2 linked regions of the Tamandua tetradactyla genome follow. The main gene of each other region encodes a partner of the protein of the gene in region 2 in a complex. Links are inferred from orthologs where the notes say so. Each region holds a gene or a part of one and is shown on either strand. Other genes may lie near its edges.

Evidence for each region.
Region 1: the proteins of CNNM3 (region 2) and PTP4A2 are in contact, whole or in part, in a crystal structure (PDB 5K25), measured with the Homo sapiens proteins. The link is inferred for Tamandua tetradactyla from reciprocal best matches to the Homo sapiens genes CNNM3 and PTP4A2. Residues at the interface, in NP_060093.3 of Homo sapiens: Leu390, His391, Phe392, Val393, Phe394, Asp396, Thr397, Glu405, Ala414, Gln417, Val419, Glu424, Gly425, Asp426, Pro427, Phe428, Tyr429; in NP_001356788.1 of Homo sapiens: Met1, Asn2, Arg3, Pro4, Asp69, Gly70, Cys101, Ala103, Leu105, Gly106, Arg107, Arg134, Arg135, Gly136, Ala137, Phe138, Asn139, Lys141, Gln142.

Annotation. Positions count from the first base shown.
Region 1 is NC_135328.1:193,881,491-193,885,392, reverse strand, and holds the start of PTP4A2 (protein tyrosine phosphatase type IVA 2), read right to left. Parts: upstream 2,612-3,902; 5' UTR 2,219-2,611; intron 1,843-2,218; exon of another isoform or gene 1-1,842.
Region 2 is NC_135343.1:2,804,906-2,808,807, reverse strand, and holds the start of CNNM3 (metal transporter CNNM3), read right to left. Parts: upstream 2,336-3,902; coding exon 1,126-2,335; intron 1-1,125. UniProt on the Homo sapiens protein: Probable metal transporter.

The sequences.
Region 1 (3,902 bases), on a different chromosome or scaffold from region 2:
AGTGAGACAAGCTACTGAGAGGGTAGTAATGGACTAGTGGCAAAACCAAGGTAAAGTGAGACCAATCTGAGTTTTCAATCCAGCTCCAGTTGTTATTAACTGTGTGACCTTGAAAAAATTACCTAACCCCTTTGAGCGTATCTCTTCATCTCATCACTCCACCGTAAATCCATGAAGGCTCATCACTGTATCCCTAGTGCCAGGAAAGTAGAAGCCACTCTAAATCTGAATAGATGCAAATTGAGAATATCTACCAACTTTGCCATAATTGTAAATGAGGGACTATAAAAAGCACCTGGTATGATAGTAGGGCACTATTTAATCCCTTTCCTGCTGAATAGTAATATTTACTATTTCTAAAAGCAGAAAGCAGCTAGAGATTGAGAAAAAGGACACTTCCCTCTGGATCAATGTCATACATGACAAAGGAAATCAGACTAAGAAAAATATAATTTTTGGCTTCTAATTACATTACATAAATGCTTTTGCCTGTAATTCTATAAGTCTAATATCTAAAAGGACCACCCTACCCGGGTAATCATAATATTGAAAGACTGCCTAGATGGAAGCCTACACCCTTATAAAGATCTCTCAAAAAACTTCTATGAGATTTTCCACCATTAAAGTGCAAAATGCCTATCAAGATACTCTTCATCAAGAACCCTTACTTCTACACCACAGGATTTTGCAAAAAGTCCCTGACAATCACTGGGCCATTCAGTCTTCAATATGAAACATTTTTTAAATGTCAGGGTCAGAATACTGGCAAACCATTTCTCACCATCTTCACTAATACAAAAGCATACTGACAAGTGATTCTGAAGCCCTAATAATGTGTCACTCATTCTGTGTCCCTATTTTTTTTTCATATTTAACAGTGCATAACTTCACTTACCTCTTGTCTGAAACCACTATGTAATACATTGCATGGCACCAAACAGCTACCATATCTTAATCTGGTTGTGGTTAAGGTTTGGTGACTCGGTATCAAACAAGCATTTGCAAAATGCATACAAGGACCCTAGGACTGCAGGTCATTTTATATGTTTCTTCACAAACACCAGGAAGTAATCAACTATCCTATGGCTCATCAGCACCATGTTATGGTTTCATCATCATTATTATTATTTCTTATGAGCTTTCCTCCAGAAGGAGCCACACCTAAATATATTATTTCAATTTATGTAACAATGAAATATTTTCCCCCTAAAGAACTAGCAGTACTTACACCGTAGAGTCTATGCTTTTGAATACTCTACAGGCAAGACACTAGGGTCCTGCCGATAGAAGGACCCTAGTCTCTTGCCTGTAGCTCTCAGAGCCCTAGACTACCACAGAAACCTTATGATAAACTTGGCAACTTAAGCCACTTTCACGGTGACAAAAGGAGAGGAGGTAAAACATTGGGGGTAAAAACTGGAAAAGAAAAAAGGACACCCTTTCTAAAAAAAATCCCAAATTATAGTGTCAAGGGAACCGACTCCTATATCCTTTCCGTCTACCCAAAGATCCAGGGAAGGGATGCTCCTGAAAAGGCGTCCCTAACCCAGAACACCAGAATTCACTATACCAAGCACAAAGACCAAAGAGAAGGGTCCTCCAGGATGTCTGCCTTACTCTGGGCAAAAGCAGGCACATTTTTACACGCTCCCTCATCTGCCACCCACCTCCCCAGACCTTCTCACACCTTTCATACACTCACTCTGTCTCCACATTCATATTCTCACACACACACTCTTCTCCCACACGCCTGCTCGCATTCACCTCTTCACTTACTCTCCCCCAGTCTCTCCATCCACATTTTCTCCCAGCTACTCTCCCTACACTCACTCACTCTCCCCTACTCTCACATTCTTTCCCGTCACTGTTTCCCCCCACACCCTCCAGAGATACTCACATTCTCCCCATCCACACTTTCTGCCCCCACTCACACACTCATTCTTCCCCCGCCACTCACACTCCCTTCCACACTCCCTCTCCTCACACTTCCCACATACACAATATTCTTCCACACACTCACAAACACCCACAAACACACTCTCACTCACTTACCCACCTCGTTCTCCACGCTTCTCGGTCGCGCTACCCCCACCCCCGACCCGGCCCTCCTTCCGGGGACGTGTCTCAGGCCTGCACTAATGGCTGCGGCGCCTCCCGCCCCCCCCTTCCCCGAGGCCCGGGAGCCCGCCCGGGGGCCGCCCGTGAGGGGAGCACTCACGCCGGCGAGCTGGGAACTGGGCATTGAAGTCTGGCGGCGGCGGGAGCGAGGAGGCGCCTCTCTCCTCAGTCACCTCGGCGGCGGCGGCGGCGGCGGCGGCGGTAGCGGTGGCGGCGACGACTCCCCCCCAGCCTCGGCGCGCGACACCCGGCCCGGCCCGGCGGCGGCGGCGGCGGCGCGTGTCCACGAGTCCGTCTTGCTGCTGCTGCTGCGGCTACCGCTGCGTCTCCTGCTGCCGCCTCTGCCCTCGCTGCCGCCGCTGTCCTATGGCGTCGCCTTGTGCCTTGCCCGGCCGCCGCTACCGCTCCAGCCGCTACCGGAGAGACGACGGTTACAGACCAGCGGATTGCGCCGTCGCCACCACCGCTGCGCGCGCAGCCGGAACCAGCTCCCGCCGCCGCCCCTCAGGGGGCGCTGCGGGGCGCGGCGCGCGCACCCGTCGGCCCGCCCTCAGCGCCTGCTGACTGGCTGACGCACCGGCTCGCGCTGACCCACTGCCCTCGGCGCCTCCCCTGCTCCTCCTCGTGGTTCGTTCCGCTCTACACTCCTGACTGCGGAAGGCGCGTCCATATGACCCGGGAGGGGGGAACAGAATGTGGTCTGAGTCACTCGCCCACACTGCGCTCCGCCCATCCGCACCTGAGTAGGGGCAAGGGCTGTGACCGCAGTGTGACCCACGAAGGTGAAGGACTTTTTCTCACCGCTTTGTCCTAGGACCAGATGCTATTGGAACTAAATGGCGACCGAGCCCTTTGCTCAGGGATTTCCAACTCAGAAGAGCGAACCAGAGCAGCTCAGTTTTAGGCTGCCCTTTTCGAGGCCCCAAACAGATGGCTTGCATGTCTTTGCGAAGGATATTTCTGTGCCCCTACCTCACCCCGCCACACACACGCGCGCGCGCGCGCAAATCAGACCTAAGAACGGTCCCTGACTTACCGAAATTCGAACTTCCCTAATGTGGGTTCTTGAACAAGCCATTTACTCTTTCTGCGTATTCGTAACAATTAAATGGGATAAATATAACCAGCTACCTTATGGGGCTCTTTTCACGTGTCAGTATTATAATGTATGAAAAATGCCTGATAAGAGGAGACCCTCAATTTCAAGGTTTCTAAACTAATGTCCCTTTTAACACAGGGAATTATTCTAGAGACTACAGACTCTGGCCCAAGGCTTTGACCTCTTGTATTTGGAAGTGGGCCAGAAATTCTTTGCCAGACCCCGCGGACTTGCGTTTTAGTTGGAAAACGTCACTGGTGAGTTGGGAGACTGGGCCACTGCCAGATGGCAGTCAGAAAGAAGCACAGGAGGCTGGTTTGGCAGGAAGTAGAAAGCCTTCTCCAGGGGTGATTGGGAGGTGGGGGTGGGGTGAGGGTTGGCCTTAGATGGGGTGAATTCTGGAAGTGGCTCCTGCCCCTAGGGCTAATGTCTTTGCCACCTCACCACCACATAAATGTACATCCAGCCCTAGGAGGAGAGTCATCATTAGGCCTTTCCCACAAGGTAGACTTGGGGCATTGCTCCTGACCAGGAGGCTTCCGTTAGGGATCAGCAGTAAAAAGAAAGGTCTTATGACTCAGCCACATCAAGCTACAGCACAGAACCCAGGATGTTCACCACCAGCAGGTGGCCAAGGAGGAGGGTATTGCACCGCAGGCTGGCAGGGCTGTGTGGGAGTTGAGAG
Region 2 (3,902 bases):
CCAAGGAAGCCTCGGAGCTGTGCCAGCGGCACCTTCTCACCACACCTCAAAACGCGACCAAGGGCTCCGCACTGTCCCCCAAAAAGAGGACGCCTGGAGGCCTGACTGGAAGAAAAGGCTCCCGCGCCTCCAGGTTTGGCGGCACCTCTCGGCTGACCTGCACCAGCCACGCTCGCTGACAGATGAGGGCCGCAGGGCTGCCTCCGGCCCGATGGGACGTACCGGCTGCGACTCCGCCGGCACCGCCGCCACCCCGTGGCCACCCCACGGTCACAGCCTGCACCGCCGAGGCGGCCCTCCTCGCACCTGCTGCTCCTCCTCCCCGCCACCAGGCAGCCAGGAGGGTCCCCGGGACAGGCCGGTCAGGGCTCCCCAGGCCTGGGGCTGGCATGGGCAGTTTCTGCCGAACCCCTGCGCAGCCGGCCTCCTGCCCAACCAGGCTGCGGCAGTGGGGGCACCCACCACTGCGCTCAGACACCCGTGCCACACTGGCCTGGCCCGGCCCAGGGTCCTGACAGCGGGACCTGACGGTGGGGAGGGCGGCAGAGGAGCCCACAGCACTCCCCGTCACCCGCACGGGAAAGGGGCACAAAGATGCAGAATTAAGGGGAAGCTAGAAAGACCTGACCCCGAGAAAAGCAGAGGCTGAAAAAAAAAGTCAAGGGAGGGACATTAAGTCTGTCCAGTGACAGGCGCCTCTGGAGAAATCAGAGTATAAGTCCCCCCCCCCAAAATCTTCTGAAAAAAAAAACAGTATTTAAAGTAAGTCTCTTCACTGCACTTGGAAGAGCCGCAGTGACCTGAGCAGTGCCCCGGAGACAGCACGGTGGGGCTAACTCTGTCCCCCAGGCTCATGGGGAGACCATTCTTCAATAGGTCCTTTTTGGTTTCCATCCCGGAGTACCCGGAGACCGGGCACGCAGAAGTGACCCGGAGGGGATGATGTGGGGAGACGGATGGACACATCTGGGCCCGGAGGCTAACCCGGAGGGGGTGCGGTTGTCCCCAGCAGGCCAAGGGGCCCCAAAACCAACCTGCAAAGGGCCCAGGGAGCGCGCAGCGCGGTGCCCTCCCGGGGTGGAGTCCTTTCGGCGCGCACCCGAGCCCCGCCGCCGCGGCCCCTACCTCGCTTGAACTCCTCCAGGACGGCATCCAGCTTGGTGTCGTTGAACACGAAGTGGAGGGGGTGGTTGTAGAAGCGGGTGATGGTGCTGAGCGGCGTGCGGTCTTCGGGGTCCACGAAGGCCAGGTCCTTGAGGTAGAGCATGTCCACGATGTTGGAGCGCTCCTCCTCGTACACGGGGATGCGCGTGTGGCCGCTCTGCATGATGCTGGCCATGACGCCGAAGTCCAGCACGGCGCTGGCGTCCAGCATAAAGCAGTCCTCGAGTGGCGTGAGCACGTCCTCCACCGTCCGGAAGCGTAGCGCGCCCCGGCCCAGCTCGCCGCAGGGGTCGCCGCCGCCCCGCGCCAGCTCCAGCACGCGCTCCCGCAGCCGCCCGGGCCGCGCCGCCCGCTCCAGCAGCTGGCCCACGGGCAGCGCCACGGGCAGGGTGAGCAGGACGGCCACGCGGCTGAGGCCCAGCGCGAGCGGGGCCAGCGCCAGCGTCCAGCGCCCGCTCACGGCGGCCGGCAGCACCTCGGCCAGCAGGAACACGAGCCCCGCGCTGCCCAGCACAGCGGGCACCGAGCGCTGCCCCGCCGCGCGGTACAGCAGCACCGCGAGCGCGGCCTGCGCCAGGCTGGCCAGCAGCAGCAGCGCGCCCAGGGCGCAGCCGGCCCAGCGCCGCGCGGGCTCCAGGCGCCGCGCCGCCGCCCGCTCGGCCTCAGAGCCGCTCTCGCGCAGCACCTGCACCTCGGCCGGCGCCAGCGCCAGCGCGCTTAGCTGCAGGCCCCGCGCCAGCGCCGCCAGCGCCAGCAGCCCGGCCGCCCCCAGGCCTAGCGCCCAGGCCGGCGCCGCCTCCTCGGCCGCCGCGCCGCCCGGACCCCCGCGCGCGGCCAGCGGCGCCCACTGCGGGCGCCCGGCCCCGGCGCGCAGGCACAGCAGCGCCCGCCAGCCGCCCGCTCCGGCCAAGGGGGCCGCGGCGCCGTCCGCGCAGCCCGCGCCCGCAGGGGCCACCCAGCGCCAGGAGCTGTTGGCGAAGCCCGAGCCCCGGAGGCGCAGGCGGAAGGTGGCCTCCGGCGGCCCCCGTGCCGGCCCCGCGCCCTCGGCTCCGTCCTCCTCCAGGCAAAAGCTCAGCACCCGCGGGCCCGGCGCCTCCTCCCCGGCGGCGGGGCCCAGGCAGAGCGCGGCCAGCAGCCAGCCCAGGCGGCCCGCAGCCGCCGCCGCCGCCATCGCCGGCCGCCCCTCCCCACCGCGCGCGCAGCCTATCCCGCTCGCCCCGCGCCGCCGCCGACCGCCGGCCAATCGCCGCCGGACGGCGCGGCCCCTCCGCCAATGGGCAGAAGGTGGGGGCGGGCCCAGGGACGGGCTAGGCTGCGCCGGGACGTAAACAGGCCGAGGCTGCGGCCGCGGGCGCCGGGTGGGCCCGGGGCTGAGAACGTGGGGCAGAGGTGGGCGCGGGACCGAGGACGCGGGGACTTGGGTGGGCCACACTGCGCCGGGTCGGAAATAGACCTCGAGCGCAGGGACCGGGAGGGCGCGGGGGATCGAGGGCGCCGTTGTGGGCGCGGGAGGCGCCGGGACGGGGGTGGGCGCCGGGGCTCGGGGACGCGGGACCGGGTTGGGCGCGGGGGCTCGAGGACGCGGGACCCGGGTGGGCGCGAGCGGCGCCCCCACGCGCCACCTGAGTGTGACTCGCGGCCTGAGCGCGTCTGGCCTCGCGGGCAGAGACTCCAGGGCAGTGTTCTCAGGTCAGGGCCTTAGACCCTCGAGGGCTTTCAACGCTGCGTGGGAGGCTGAGGCAGGGCTCGGCGTCCGTCCCGACCTCCGCGCCGGGAAAGCCGCAGGTGGAGGCCGCGCCCTGCAGCCCCCTCGCGCCGCCGCGTTGCTGGCACTGATGGGAGCCTTGGGCTCCTCCGGACCTGCCCACGTGCCCGGAGGGGCGACACGCTGGGCTTGGAAACGCCACTTGTGGCCGCTCGCTGTCCAGCTATTTAGGAAGTCTGATGTCCCCTACAACAGGGGCTGACCTCCACCCATCACAAATGACCGTTATGCAAGCGGAAGGAGGAGCACTGGAGGTGCACACCAAGTGATTTTTGTATATTTTTTACACTTTTATGCGTTTTCAAGTTTTCTAACATTAGAGTAGACTTTGATGAGATTTAGCGTCTGTGTCATTTGAAAGGAACTTCAAGGGTTCTGTAGAAACACCCTCTCCTACATCATGAAACTAACAACATTTTTTTAAGTATAGGTTCTGTGACCACAGTTGCATGAAATACATCTGCATAGAAGGAAATGTGCAGAAGGAGTAAACCCGTGGTGCAATTTTGAATACCCAAAGGAAAAAAAAAATTGTGAAAAGCTTTTTAAAGGTGGTAATAGTGGCTCTTCTACATTGTAAGCGCAGAGCTGTGACCCTGACAGCTGTATCTCAGGATTCTTCAAGTTCATCCTTTCGTGCACAAAAGTTTTTAATTTTCATGAAATCCATGTTATCTATTTTGTTGTTGTTGTTACTTGTGCTTTTGGTGTAAAATCTAAAAATCCGTTTCCTCCTACAAGGCCCTGGAGATATTCCCCGGTTTTCTTCTAAGAGTTTTATAGTGCTCACTCTTCTATTTAGGTCTGATCCATTTTGAATTAATTTTTGTATATGGTGAGAGGTGGAGTTCCAGTTGCCCCAGCACCATTTGCAGAAGAGATTATTCTTTCCCCGTTGAATGGACTTGGTACCCTGTCGAAAATCAACTGGCTACAGGTGTGTGGATTCTAACCTGGCCCCTCAATAGAACTG